Linked DNA regions of Xenopus tropicalis. Each later gene encodes a partner of the first gene's protein in a complex. Links are inferred from orthologs where the notes say so. Each region holds a gene or a part of one and is shown on either strand. Other genes may lie near its edges. The genes, in order: cacnb1 and cacng1.

The links.
Region 2: cacnb1 (region 1) and cacng1 share a complex: the UniProt entries of both Homo sapiens proteins name them as parts of the calcium channel complex. The link is inferred for Xenopus tropicalis from reciprocal best matches to the Homo sapiens genes CACNB1 and CACNG1.

Annotation. Positions count from the first base shown.
Region 1 is NC_030686.2:10,380,145-10,387,676, reverse strand, and holds the start of cacnb1 (voltage-dependent L-type calcium channel subunit beta-1), read right to left. Parts: upstream 4,748-7,532; 5' UTR 4,714-4,747; coding exon 4,627-4,713; intron 3,532-4,626; coding exon 3,445-3,531; intron 1-3,444. UniProt on the Homo sapiens protein: Regulatory subunit of L-type calcium channels. Regulates the activity of L-type calcium channels that contain CACNA1A as pore-forming subunit.
Region 2 is NC_030686.2:51,107,110-51,114,364, reverse strand, and holds the end of cacng1 (voltage-dependent calcium channel gamma-1 subunit), read right to left. Parts: intron 5,405-7,255; coding exon 5,330-5,404; intron 5,196-5,329; coding exon 5,058-5,195; intron 3,736-5,057; coding exon 3,509-3,735; 3' UTR 2,678-3,508; downstream 1-2,677. UniProt on the Homo sapiens protein: Regulatory subunit of the voltage-gated calcium channel that gives rise to L-type calcium currents in skeletal muscle. Regulates channel inactivation kinetics.

The DNA.
Region 1 (7,532 bases):
CCCCACCGGCGAAAATGTAAATCGCCGGTGGGATGGCATACATGGCGCTGAGATTTCAATGAAACCGCGGAAGTTGCCTTGGGAGGAAACTTCCCTTTTCGCGGGCGACTAATCTCCCCGTGTGCCAGAGCCGTAAGGGAGGTGACATATGCGGAAATTAGTCGCCTCGCAACAAAGCTACTGCCTCCCTAAAGCTACTGCCAAGGCACAGGCCCAAGGTGACTATATGGTAGATTTGGCCCTAAACCCATGGGACACTCTGCTGGAGTATTTGCACTGCTGCAGAAGTGCCAGAGAAAACACTTAAATTGCAAAAACCTGTCACTGATATCAGCCCAAAGTCCCTCAAACGTTGATGACAGGTGATTGCCATTCACTTCAATGCTGGTAGCCGGAGTGGTGACAGGTTTATCTTCTGGGTTAGATATGGCAGACCAAACATCTGGTGTGCCATGGGCATAAATGTATAGCAACTTATTAGTATCAGCTACAGATCTGCACTTGTAGCATGATGTGTCCTGACAGGCCGGGACTGGCAAGCTGTGGGTTCTGGCAAAGGGGCTGCCTCTCTGGCCCCTCAGCAGCCCAATAAATAGTGATTGCCTATGGCACCTTACAGCCCCCCTGGCATTCCCAGTACCCAGAGGCACAAACAGCCCCCCCCCAGCCCAATAAATAGTGACTGTCTATGGCATCTTACAGCAGCCCCTCTGGCATTTGCCAGAACCCACAGATTGCCAGTCCGGGCCTGTATCTATCCTTCCCTCCTTCATAGTGGAGAATTATCAGTTCTGGACTGGGATACAAAATAGGCCCTGGCATTCCCAGTACCCAGAGGCCCAAACAGCCCCCCAGCCCAATAAATAGTGACTGCCTGTGGCACCTTACAGCCCCCCTGGCATTCCCAGTACCCAGAGGCCCAAACAGCCCCCCAGCAGCCCAATAAATAGTGACTGTCTGTGGCACCTTACAGCCCCCCTGGCATTCCCAGTACCCAGAGGCACAAACAGCCCCCCCAGCCCAATAAATAGTGACTGCCTATGGCATCTTACAGCAGCCCCTCTGGCATTTGCCAGAACCCACAGATTGCCAGTCTGGGCCTGGGTGAAACAAACAAAGCCACATACCAGACCAGGATATATGTGTGCAGTCCAATCAAGAAGTAACCAACTCCTCACATTTCACAAACTCACAAAACACAAACTACCTATCATACACACCCAAACACCATTATATATATGTATACCCCACATAGCATATGTACAGAAGCGGAAGCAATGGCAGACCCCCCCACACACACTACACACACAACAGCTGGGACTGTGTGACAGCCTTCTAACCCCCACACACACACTAGTGCACCATGATATATGAATACATTCTACCAGCTGTGACTACTACCCCCCTCCCCCACCACAAAACCTTGATGTATGTACACAGCCCAACTAGAAGCAGTGATCACCTCTCCCCCACCCCACAGCAACCTTCCTTCCACCAACACACTTCTACACCATTGTATATGATAACACAATCAATAGTAGTGCTCTACATGGAAATCATGATGTATTAACAAGGTAACACTAGCAGCGGGGATAGCTGTCACCTCTATGCACACACCTTATGGAACCATGCAATATCGGCAACATATACCTGCAGCTGCATGATAACCATACTAACTTTTGAGACCTTATTTTATGTTACTATTTAGTGGGATTAGGAATTTTGGCTGAGAAAAATCCAGGACTGGATCATTTTCACCATCATGACACCGTGTTGTCAATTGTGAGTGGGTGCTGCCATTCTGGGCTGCTGTACCACTTCCCTCACACAGCAGCCCTATACAGTTTACATTGCAGATTTCCTGACCAACCAGTTACATTTGGATTCAGCAGTTGTCAGACATAGAAGCACCATTATTTCACTCGGCAAGAGAAGTTATTTTTGTTCAACCTTCTGCCACTCTGCCACTCTGCCACATACACCATAATATCCACACATGTCAACCAGCAGCAGAATTATCTAGAGCTCTATCTGGGGGTGCAATTAGTCTGACTGCAGAGGCTCTGCAAAGCCTGGGGACTCTGTTTTTCCATGGGCCCCATCACCACTAAAGACACCCCATCCGTCCATACACACACTCATCAACACTGCCCCCAAGTCACATATTGCTGCAACAATAGAAGCAGCACATAGCACCTTCCTGCCCTATGTAGTATGTATAGCCCAAACACATTGGTGACAGTCTCTCCTACTCACTATTAGACTACACATATATCACAAACAGCAGCAGTAGCAAAATTGTGCACCATGCACCCACATCCAGTCAATGGCAGTGATATCCTCTATACAATGTACTCACAACCAGGCCCAGACTGTGGGTTCTGGCAAATGCCAGAGAGGCTGCTGTAAGATGCCATAGACAGTCACTATTTATTGGGCTGCTGGGGGGCTGTTTGAGCCTCATTGTACCTGAAATGCCAGGGCCTGTTTAACTCCCAGTCCGGGCTTGCACCCAACTATTTGATAAGCACAGAATATCCGACTGGAAGTATAACCTTGTTATGAAACACACTTCTACACCATGACATATGTACACTGTACAACTTCCTGGGTACAAAACCTTACACAGTGATATATGGAAAATCAGCAGTAATGGTAACCTACCCCTGTGCCCACAAAATAAGATATACATACAGTACAACATTTTGCTCTCTCACACAAACACACTACTACACCGTAAAATATTTGGTGTGCAAGCAGCAGGTGTGACAACCCATGTATAAAATAATAAATATACTTCCATATGTACACATGCCTGTGTCTGGTATCATTTTTTCCCTTAAGGCTTGGGCTGCTGGCACTCATTACAGAAGTTACCCTAACACATACAGGCCCAGACTGGCAATCTGTGGGTTCAGGCAAATGCCAGAGGGGCTGCTGTAAGATGCCACAGACAGTCACTATTTATTGGGCTGCTGGGGGGCTGTTTCGGCCTCAGTGTACTTGAAATGCCAGGGCCTATTTTGAATCACAGTCCAGGTCTGAACACATACAATACCATTCAGTAAGGCACCAGCACAGTCATATAGAGCAGCCTGACATACGTGTATATCATGTCATGTATGTGCTATAAATATACATGGAAGAAGCTGTAACACCGTCTTTGTTTTTTTTCCAACTTGTATTCACTCTCCTCTTTCTTGCCTCAACCCCCCCCCCCTTTTATCTATCTTCTCTCTCATTCTTTGCACTCTCCAATCTCCCTCCCTTGCAGGCAGTTAATTAGCGTTTGTCATTTCCATTTCCTGACGTAGGAGCATCTCTTCCCTGGCTCTGGTTGCCACGGTAACCAGGACCGGGGCCTAACGAGGCCTGTGTGCTCTTCCTCACACACACACACACGCCAGGCCTGTAGCACAGAACAGCACTGAGCATGACTCTCACCTGCCTCACAAAGCTGTTGGAGGTGGTATCAGAGCTGGTGCTGCCATCTGAACGCTTAAAACGACTTTTCCTCTTGGCATATTTGGCCTGGGAAATAAAGAAGTGAAGGGAGGGGTTAGGAATGGGGGGAACAGAAAAAAGAAAAGGGAGGCATAAAGGAGAATAGAACAGTCAACATATGTTTTCTATTATTATACGTCCTATAACTTTACCCTTCTGACCCACAAAGCAATTTCCTACGTCAGGTACATACACATCTTACTGCACCGTGTAATCCCTCCCTGTAACAATTGTTCCCCTTATAATTCCTTATTTCCCTCTACATGAGGGGCGCAGCTACAGGGGCTGTAACCCGGTCATGGGGCACTGAGGGGACCCCTAACCCCAGAGAAATAAATCTTTTTTCTCCTCAGAAGCAAAACACAGGGTGATATGAAGTGACAGTCTGTGCAGGCATAGAATTACCTGGGTGAAGAGGTAGAATTAAAAGTCTTTGTGGACATAGATGTTTGGGTGTGGTATAGAGGTGGCCCTGAACCATTAGCAATGCCCCTGTGTTACACACCATTAACTTAAATAACCTCATAGAGATTTCTGCCATTTCTATGTGGTACTTAGTTTAAGTGTGGAGGAAACAATAGGAATATCCAGCAGATACCCCCTGTATCCATGACTGGGAAGATGGAATGGGCAGACCCGAGGCACAGTGATTGCTAGACATAAAGGCTACATATTAGTAACTTGCACCCCGGGCTGTGTTTCCCTGCTCCCAACCAGCTGTTTCCTTTTGCATTTGCCCCTGCCGCTTCCTGCCCATCTAGCCTTCTATTTCCCATCTTATTCCCCTATAGCTCTCTCTGTCTTTCTTTTCCATGCAGCTGTGCCTCTCGACACTCTCACTATCCTTTGTGACTGTCTCCCTTTCACTGCAAGTCTGTCTCTGTGTCACAGTTAACCTGCAGCTTTCTCCCTCGCGCCTCCATTTGTGTCTATGTTCTCAACCTATACAGGTCCTGTGTGTGTCTATCTATCTATCTATCTATCTATCTATATTGGACTGTTTTATTATACAGATACATATAGCCTGATCTTTCAATTATCACAAATATAATAATAATCTCTCTGTGTATTAGCATAGCCAGCCATCAATGTATGCACCCCCCCCCCATGTATATGTCTCACCTGTAGGCTGTGCCCCTCTAACACATCCATCTGGATCTCCTGTGTGGAGCTGGACGGGGTCCTGGCCATCCTGTTCTGCTGGACCATTGGTGTGTCTCCCCCCACATATTCCCCAAATCACACTGCACTCATGACATCCAGATCCAGGACTGCAAGGGAGCCAGGAGAGAGAGGAGGAAATAAGGAGGGGGAGAAGGGCAGAACTGGGGAGGGGAGAAGAGAGACAGGAGGCAAGGGGCAGGGAAAGGGATGGAGAGAGACAGGAGGATGGGAGAGGTACAGAGAGGAGGAGAGTGAGGAGTAAAGAGGTGGAGCAAGTCAGAGACACAAGAGGTGATTTAACGGACTGGGAGTCAGGCTCAGTACCATATGTGCCAGGGGAGAACATAGAAAAGGAACATGGCACGGGAATCTAGAGGGTATAAGATGAGAAGAGAGCAGTGCATTGGAGAGAGTGAGAGAGAGAGGGGGGCAGGCAGGCAGATAGCTGGAAGAGATGGGAAAGGAGGGGGCAGCAGGAGGTAGGAACAATGATGGCAGACAACTGACTTCTTCCTAGCAACACTACCCACAGCAGATCTCCCTGATGCATCCTAGCACACAAACAGGCTACAGCACTGACTGATCGGCACTAATGCAATAAGTTTCCACATCAGCACTCGTACCTATATGCCTACGGAGCATCTCCATACACAGCACAGGGTATTATTATAAAAAGAATATAAAAAGCCAGGAGGTTTGCTTGTTACTTGCTGTGTGCATAAAGAGAGAGGATTATCATTGTTAAGGTCTGCTATTTGTAGGACCCAAAAGGATAGCAGAGAAAACGTAAAGAAGCTTAAAGCAGTGGTTCACATTCAAGTTAACTTTTAGTATGTTAGAAAATGGCCTAGTCTTAGGAACTTTTTAATTGGTCTTCATTTTTATTTTGAATTATTCTCTTTTGACTCTTTCCAACTATTTTAAATGGGGCGTCACTGCCCCTGGTAGTAGAAAAAAACAATTGCTCTGTGAGGCTACATTTTTATTGTTACTTTTTATTACTTATATTTCTATTTAGGCACTCCTCTATTTATATTCCTGTCTCACTTTCAAACCACTGCCTGGTTGCTAGGTTAAATTTGACCATAGAACCCAATAGCTCCTGAAATTCCAAATTGGAGAGTTGCTGATCAAAAAAGCTAAATAAATCAAAACAAGACCAAATTGCAATTTATCTCAAAATAGCACTCTCTACATCAGGGCTCCCCAACCTTTCTTACTTGTGAGCCACAGTCAAACGTAAAAAGACTTGGAGAGCAACACAGGCATCAGAAAAGTTCATGGAGGTGCCAAATAAGGGCTGTGATTGGCTATTAGGCAGCCTCTATGAACACTATCAGCTTACAGGGGCTTTATTTGGTAGGAAATCTTGTTTTTATTCAACCAAAACTTGCCCCCAAGTCAGGAATTCAAAAATAACTCCCTGGTTTTGGGGCACTGAGAGCAACATCCAAGGGGTTGGTGAGTAACATGTTGCCCCCGAATCACTGGTTGGGGATCGCTGCCCTACATCATACTAACAATGAATTTAAAATTGAACATACCCTTTATTATCCCTCCCACAGATTTCATCTTCTTTAGAAATAGGTTGCCATTGTAGTGTATATATGTTTACAATGTTTTAAAGACACTGATCCTCATTTCCCAGAAGAGCTTACAATCTAAGGTCCCTAGCACACATGCACTAGAGTTAGTTTCATTAGGAGCCAACAAACCTGCCTGTATGTATTTGGAGTGGCTGAGGACACAGGAATACTTAAAGAAAACTCAGGGAGACCCTACTTGGAATCAAACTCAGGACCCTTGGGTTAGTAAGGCTGATAGCTGCTGTTAGGTGTGGTGTGGTGCCAGGTGTGGCATTTTGACTACTGCAATCCTGAACAGTTACTCTAAGCTCAGTGTGTGTGAAAGTGGACAAAATGCTGTAGGCCATTGGCTTTATATTAGTGCTCTCTAACCTGTAGCCTTTTAAAGAATTCTGTAAATCATACATCATGGCCAACCAGGGTAAATAGTGCCATGTGTAAAATACAGTGGGTATACCACTAAAATTTTGTAGTGTTCAAGCCCCCCTTGGCAGTCAAATGTTTAACAAAATGTGCAAAGTTTGCCACTGACCTAGTAACCCATAGCAACCAATTAGTAAGTACTACGACTGCACCTATTTAAAAGCAAATATCTTATTGGTTGCTATGATTTACTGTACCTGGGCAAGCGTTATGCCTTTTATTACATATGGGGGTTTATTTAGGGTTCCCCTTAGCTCGCAATTACAGATAGAGAAAATCAGTTTTATATTAGCCTCAACACCCCCCCCCCCCCCACCCAAGGTCCCATCCCTGACCTGCCCATGCCTCATCCCTCTTTCTATGTTGGGCTCCCTTTTATCAATGGGGCAACGGTCCTGATTGGACCCATTGGTATCTGACACTGGTTTTACCTCTAATCTCAACCTAACCGATCATAGATATACCTATGAGACCAAATATTCATGCTCCCCAAACCTCATTTGAACTAACCCTCAAGCCCAACCCCTCTTGTGAGTACTCCATACTTTGAGAGCCACTGCTTTTGTGATCTTATAACTCCTCCAAACAAAACCTGACTATATCTTATCTTATCTTACCAAGGCCAACTCTAATGTGTTTAAGAAGCTTTATGAGTGTTTTGAAAATGCAACAGTTTTCTGAATTAGAGGTCAGGCCCAGATCTGTGCATTCTGTGGTGAGTTTCTTTATGAAAACATTGTTCATCTTTTTCACTTGTAAATGCATTTGGCAGCTTTGAGGTAGTGAACGCCATTAGAACTTGTGTCAAAACACGCTCCTTGCACTTCTGAACAGTTGCGCTCTGCGTCGCTCAGA
Region 2 (7,255 bases), about 41 Mb from region 1:
CCCCCCTATACCACCTAGTGCCCTCCTACCTTACCCACCCTAGTGCCCTCCTACCTTACCCACCCTAGTGCCCTCCTACCTTACCCACCCTTAGTGCCCTCCTACCTTACCCACCCTAGTGCCCTCCTACCTTACCCACCCTAGTGCCCACCTACCTTACCCACCCTAGTGCCCACCTACCTTACCCACCCTAGTGCCCTCCTACCTTACCCACCCTAGTGCCCACCTACCTTACCCACCCTAGTGCCCACCTACCTTACCCACCCTAGTGCCCTCCTACCTTACCCACCCTAGTGCCCTCCTACCTTACCCACCCTAGTGCCCACCTACCTTACCCACCCTAGTGCCCACCTACCTTACCCACCCTAGTACCCACCTACCTTCTCTTAGTGCTGCTTTTCTCCTCACATAGAGGTAACGCCAGTGGGAGTTTAAGCATTGGAAGGGTTAAAGGTGAGGGAAAGGTGAGTCAGGCCCCGCCCCCCGCCAGGTGAGATTAATCAGTGGGGGGCAAATCTCTCCAACGCCGGAACGTGAGTCCCACCCCCGGGGCTAAAGGGCTAAACCATTAGATAACTGTGGTGCCCCTGGAAATTGCCCTGTGCAGGGGTGAGAGAGAAGGGCCAGAGGGGAAGGTGGGGCAGATACAAAGTTGCACCAGGGGCAGTTACTCGGCAACGACTGACCCCCCCCCCCCACCAACCTGCCCCCGCCCCCCCCGTCAGAAGCGCAGAGGCAAAGTGCAGGTACCGTCTCTTTTCTACTTCTGCCCCCTACAGGGGCAATAGGCAATACTGTAATTGTATAACTGCTGGTGCCCCCCTGGGGCAATACTCTGGTTGTATAACTGCTGGTGCCCCCCTGGGGCAATACTCTGGTTGTATAACTGCTGGTGCCCCCCTGGGGCAATACTCTGGTTGTATAACTCCTGGTGCCCCCCTGGGGCAATACTCTGATTGTATAACTGCTGGTGCCCCCCTGAGGCAATACTCTGGTTGTATAACTCCTGGTGCCCCCCTGGGGCAATACTCTGGTTGTATAACTCCTGGTGCCCCATGTGGGGCAATACTCTGATTGTATAACTGCTGGTGCCCCCCTGGGGCAATACTCTGGTTGTATAACTCCTGGTGCCCCATGTGGGGCAATACTCTGGTTGTATAACTCCTGGTGCCCCCCTGGGGCAATACTCTGGTTGTATAACTGCTGGTGCCCCCCTGGGGCAATACTCTGGTTGTATAACTCCTGGTGCCCCATGTGGGGCAATACTCTGATTGTATAACTGCTGGTGCCCCCCTGGGGCAATACTCTGGTTGTATAACTCCTGGTGCCCCCCTGAGGCAATACTCTGGTTGTATAACTCCTGGTGCCCCCCTGGGGCAATACTCTGGTTGTATAACTGCTGGTGCCCCCCTGGGGCAATACTCTGGTTGTATAACTCCTGGTGCCCCATGTGGGGCAATACTCTGATTGTATAACTGCTGGTGCCCCCCTGGGGCAATACTCTGGTTGTATAACTCCTGGTGCCCCATGTGGGGCAATACTCTGATTGTATAACTGCTGGTGCCCCCCTGGGGCAATACTCTGGTTGTATAACTCCTGGTGCCCCCCTGGGGCAATGCTCTGGTTGTATAACTGCTGGTGCCCCCCTGGGGCAATACTCTGGTTGTATAACTCCTGGTGCCCCATGTGGGGCAATACTCTGATTGTATAACTCCTGGTGCCCCATGTGGGGCAATACTCTGATTGTATAACTGCTGGTGCCCCTTCAGGGGTAATGTATTTATAGTCCTTCTGGTAACCGCTGGTAGCAATAGTGTAACTATAACCGCTGGCGCCCCCTGTAGGTGTATTACTGTAATTGTAGAACCCCCGGTGCCCCCTGTAGGTGTATTACTGTAATTGTAGAACCCCCGTGCCCCCTGTAGGTGTATTACTGTAATTGTAGAACCCCCGGTGCCCCCTGTAGGTGTATTACTGTAATTGTAGAACCCCCGGTGCCCCCTGTAGGTGTATTACTGTAATTGTAGAACCCCCGTGCCCCCTGTAGGTGTATTACTGTAATTGTAGAACCCCCGGTGCCCCCTGTAGGTGTATTACTGTAATTGTAGAACCCCCGGTGCCCCCTGTAGGTGTATTACTGTAATTGTAGAACCCCCGGTGCCCCCTGTAGGTGTATTACTGTAATTGTAGAACCCCCGGTGCCCCCTGTAGGTGTATTACTGTAATTGTAGAACCCCCGGTGCCCCCTGTAGGTGTATTACTGTAATTGTAGAACCCCCGGTGCCCCCTGTAGGTGTATTACTGTAATTGTAGAACCCCCGGTGCCCCCTGTAGGTGTATTACTGTAATTGTAGAACCCCCGGTGCCCCCTGTAGGTGTATTACTGTAATTGTAGAACCCCCGGTGCCCCCTGTAGGTGTATTTTTATGATACAGTTGGTGTACCTGGTGCTGTCATTGCAGTCACATATGGAGAAGGTATGTCGCTTGGCCAATCAGAGATGCCATTCAGCCCCCACCCCAGAGATGATTTCCAGGAGGACTGGGCACTATGGCAGCTCCTGGCACCCTTGGGCACTATGGCAGCTCCTGGCACCCTTGGGCACTATGGCAGCTCCTGGCACCCTTGGGCACTATGGCAGCTCCCTTTCCATAGAAATAGGCAAATGCACAGATGATAAAGTAAAACTTGGTTCTATTTACCCTTGAAATTTAAAGACATTCAGTGATTAGATAAACACCACAAAGGCCAAAGTCACACATTATTTCTCATATCTTCCCACCCCCTGAGCCCCCCGACTCTGCAGCTGTAACGACGCCCTGTGAGTCCCTCAGTCTCCCTATGGGTCGGTGTCTATTCCTGTAATGGGGGGGGGGGCACAGGCCGGGGGACGCTATTTAAAGCCAGTGAAATAATCCAGTAAATAAAGGTGCTGGGGGCAGGGAGAGAATCCCAGCTGCTGTAGGGGGGCTGCCCCCAAATCCCCCTCCCACTAGTTACCCAGAGGGGTTCCATACAGGGGGTGGGGTCCCCCAAATCCCCCTCCCACTAGTTACCCAGAGGGGTTCCATACAGGGGGTGGGGTCCCCCAAATCCCCCTCCCACTAGTTACCCAGAGGGGTTCCATACAGGGGGTGGGGTCCCCCAAATCCCCCTCCCACTAGTTACCCAGAGGGGTTCCATACAGGGGGTGTGGTCCCCCAAATCCCCCTCCCACTAGTTACCCAGAGGGGTTCCATACAGGGGGTGGGGGCCCCCAAATCCCCCTCCCACTAGTTACACACCCAGAGGGGTTCCATACAGGGGGTGGGGGCCCAAAATGAATTTGCTGTGGGGCCCAGTAATTCCTGGTTACGCCATTGGCCAAGCCTTGGGGAGGAGCTTACACTATACAGGAAAGAAGCGAGATATTGGGGTGCGCCACCCCCTCTGCCCTCACTCGCCCATTGAGTTCAGTCAGTGAATGTCGGGGGTCCATCTCCGGTCCGTGACCCCCCGGAATCTCCCCTCACATGTCGGGCTCCGCGTCCATACAGGTCTCCCAGGGGTTCCTGGGCATGCGCGGCAGGGAGATGAGCACCAGGGCGACGCCGCACACGAACAGCAGCACGAAGGCGGCGCAGGCGCAGGCGAAGGACCACGAATAATAATACTCGATCCAGACCGTCTCCTTACTGTCTATCATCCGGTGCACCGACTGTCTGATCACTTCCGCCGAGATAATCATGCACAGCCCTGCAACGGCAAGCCGGGGGTTAATCTAATGTTTCTTAGATGGGAATTCAGCTGTTTAACTGGATGTATTGCATTGGCTGAGCACAAACCCCTCCCCCTGTGAGCTGCCATCATAGAGTTCTAGTCCCACCCACTGCTTGGGTCACAGACTCCCTGCCCCTCCCCCTATAAACTGTCATCAGAGGGCTCTAGTCCCACCCACTGCTTGTGTCACAGACTCCCTGCCCCTCCCCCTATAAACTGCCATCAGAGGGCGCTAGTCCCACCCACTGCTTGGGTCACAGACTCCCTGCCCCTCCCCCTATAAACTGTCATCAGAGGGCTCTAGTCCCACCCACTGCTTGGGTCACAGACTCCCTGCCCCTCCCCCTATAAACTGCCATCAGAGGGCTCTAGTCCCACCCACTGCTTGAGTCACAGACTCCCTGCCCCTCCCCCTATAAACTGCCATCAGAGGGCGCTAGTCCCACCCACTGCTTGTGTCACAGACTCCCTGCCCCTCCCCCTATAAACTGCCATCAGAGGGCTCTAGTCCCACCCACTGCTTGGGTCACAGACTCCCTGCCCCTCCCCCTATAAACTGTCATCAGAGGGCTCTAGTCCCACCCACTGCTTGGGTCACAGACTCCCTGCCCCTCCCCCTATAAACTGTCATCAGAGGGCTCTAGTCCCACCCACTGCTTGGGTCACAGACTCCCTGCCCCTCCCCCTATAAACTGTCATCAGAGGGCTCTAGTCCCACCCACTGCTTGGGTCACAGACTCCCTGCCCCTCCCCCTATAAACTGTCATCAGAGGGCTCTAGTCCCACCCACTGCTTGGGTCACAGACTCCCTGCCCCTCCCCCTATAAACTGCCATCAGAGGGCTCTAGTCCCACCCACTGCTTGTGTCACAGACTCCCTGCCCCTCCCCCTATAAACTGTCATCAGAGGGCTCTAGTCCCACCCACTGCTTGGGTCACAGACTCCCTGCCCCTCCCCCTATAAACTGCCATCAGAGGGCGCTAGTCCCACCCACTGCTTGTGTCACAGACTCCCTGCCCCTCCCCCTATAAACTGCCATCAGAGGGCGCTAGTCCCACCCACTGCTTGAGTCACAGACTCCCTGCCCCTCCCCCTTATAAGCTGCCATCAGAGGGCTCTAGTCCCACCCACTGCTTGAGTCACAGACTCCCTGCCCCTCCCCCTGTAGGCTGCTATGAGTGGGTGCCCTAGCCCCCTTGCCTTGTTGGCTTACAATGTTGGCGGATTTGTTGCCTCCCTGATTTGCCCCTGAGTGTGGCAGAGACATGGGGGTTTCTAGGGGCACTGGGGGTACAAACCTGCAAAGATGAAGAAGAGGCCGGCGGGTTTGAGCAGGTAGTCGAGCTTCTCCTTGAAGGACAGCAGGGTGCACACTGTGCCCATAGTCATGAACCCCACTCCGATGATGGCGATGGCGGCTGCCGAGATGCTGTACTCTGGGGGGGGGCAAGATCAGGGGGTGAGAGGGCAGAGTGGAGGCTTCTGGGACATACACAACGAGTAACGAGGGTTGGGGGGGCAGGGACATTGGGGAGACAAACGCACAGTGATGTCACAATGGGCCCCTCACCTTTCTGCGTCGTCACCTCGAAAATATCCGCGTTCTCCCCTGAAGTGAAATGCTTGAAGTAGGTGCAGCTGTGCTCTGGGGGGGCAACACAACGGGGGTCAGATCACTCTGCGCGGCCATCTGGTTGCTAAGGTAACTGTGCTTAGCAACCAGGTACCAGTTTGGCAGTCGGACTGAACTTGATGCAAGTGATTATTTTATCATCAGGTCTTTGCCTTGTAGCTATCGACAGCCAATAGGAACAACTGCTGTTATCTCTGGGGTTCTGGGGATTCCCTGCACCCTGATTGTTAGAGATTTGGCTCCACCCCCCTGACCTTATTCCCATGGGATTCCCTGCACCGATTATTAGAGATTTGGCTCCACCCCCCTGACCATATTCCCTTGGCCATGTGGCACTCACATGGTTAAACTGCTCCCACGTTCAGCTTTGTATCTGTCTATCGGTATTGATCCCAATTGGTTATTGATTGTGCTGTAGGGTGAGTGTGAGAGTGGGGTGACTCTGTGGGGGGCAATTCCTTATTGTATGTGGGTCCCTGTGTAAGGGGGTCTTTCTTGGCAGGGGATTGGCTGCCATGTTACTTTACTTGGCGTTCTTGCCCTACTGTCTCCCTCTTGCCCTACTGTCTCCCTCTTGCCCTACTGTCTCCCTCTTGCCCTACTGTCTCCCTCTTGCCCTACTGTCTCCATCTTGCCCTACTGTCCCCATCTTGCCCTACTGTCTCCATCTTGTCCTACTGTCTCCCTCTTGCCCTACTGTCCCCATCTTGCCCTACTGTCTCCATCTTGCCCTACTGTCTCCATCTTGTCCTACTGTCCCCATCTTGTCCTACTGTCTCCATCTTGCCCTACTGTCCCCATCTTGTCCTACTGTCTCCATCTTGTCCTACTGTCCCCATCTTGTCCTACTGTCCCCATCTTGTCCTACTGTCCCCATCTTGTCCTACTGTCCCCATCTTGCCCTACTGTCTCCATCTTGTCCTACTGTCCCCATCTTGTCCTACTGTCTCCATCTTGCCCTACTGTCTCCATCTTGCCCTACTGTCTCCATCTTGTCCTACTGTCCCCATCTTGTCCTACTGTCCCCATCTTGTCCTACTGTCTCCATCTTGCCCTACTGTCCCCATCTTGCCCTACTGTCTCCATCTTGCCCTGCTGTCTCCATCTTGTCCTACTGTCCCCATCTTGTCCTACTGTCTCCATCTTGTCCTACTGTCCCCATCTTGTCCTACTGTCTCCATCTTGCCCTACTGTCTCCATCTTGCCCTACTGTCTCCATCTTGTCCTACTGTCCCCATCTTGTCCTACTGTCCCCATCTTGTCCTACTGTCTCCATCTTGCCCTACTGTCCCCATCTTGCCCTACTGTCCCCATCTTGTCCTACTGTCCCCATCTTGCCCTACTGTCTCCATCTTGCCCTACTGTCCCCATCTTGTCCTACTGTCCCCATCTTGCCCTACTGTCTCCATCTTGTCCTACTGTCCCCATCTTGTCCTACTGTCCCCATCTTGTCCTACTGTCTCCATCTTGCCCTACTGTCCCCATCTTGTCCTACTGTCTCCATCTTGTCCTACTGTCCCCATCTTGTCCTACTGTCCCCATCTTGTCCTACTGTCTCCATCTTGCCCTACTGTCTCCATCTTGCCCTACTGTCTCCATCTTGTCCTACTGTCCCCATCTTGTCCTACTGTCCCCATCTTGTCCTACTGTCTCCATCTTGCCCTACTGTCCCCATCTTGCCCTACTGTCTCCATCTTGCCCTACTGTCCCCATCTTGCCTTACTGTCCCCATCTTGCCCTACTGTCCCCATCTTGCCCTACTGTCCCCATCTTGCCCTACTGTCCCCATCTTGCCCTACTGTCTCCATCTTGCCCTACTGTCCCCATCTTGCCCTACTGTCCCCATCTTGCCCTACTGTCTCC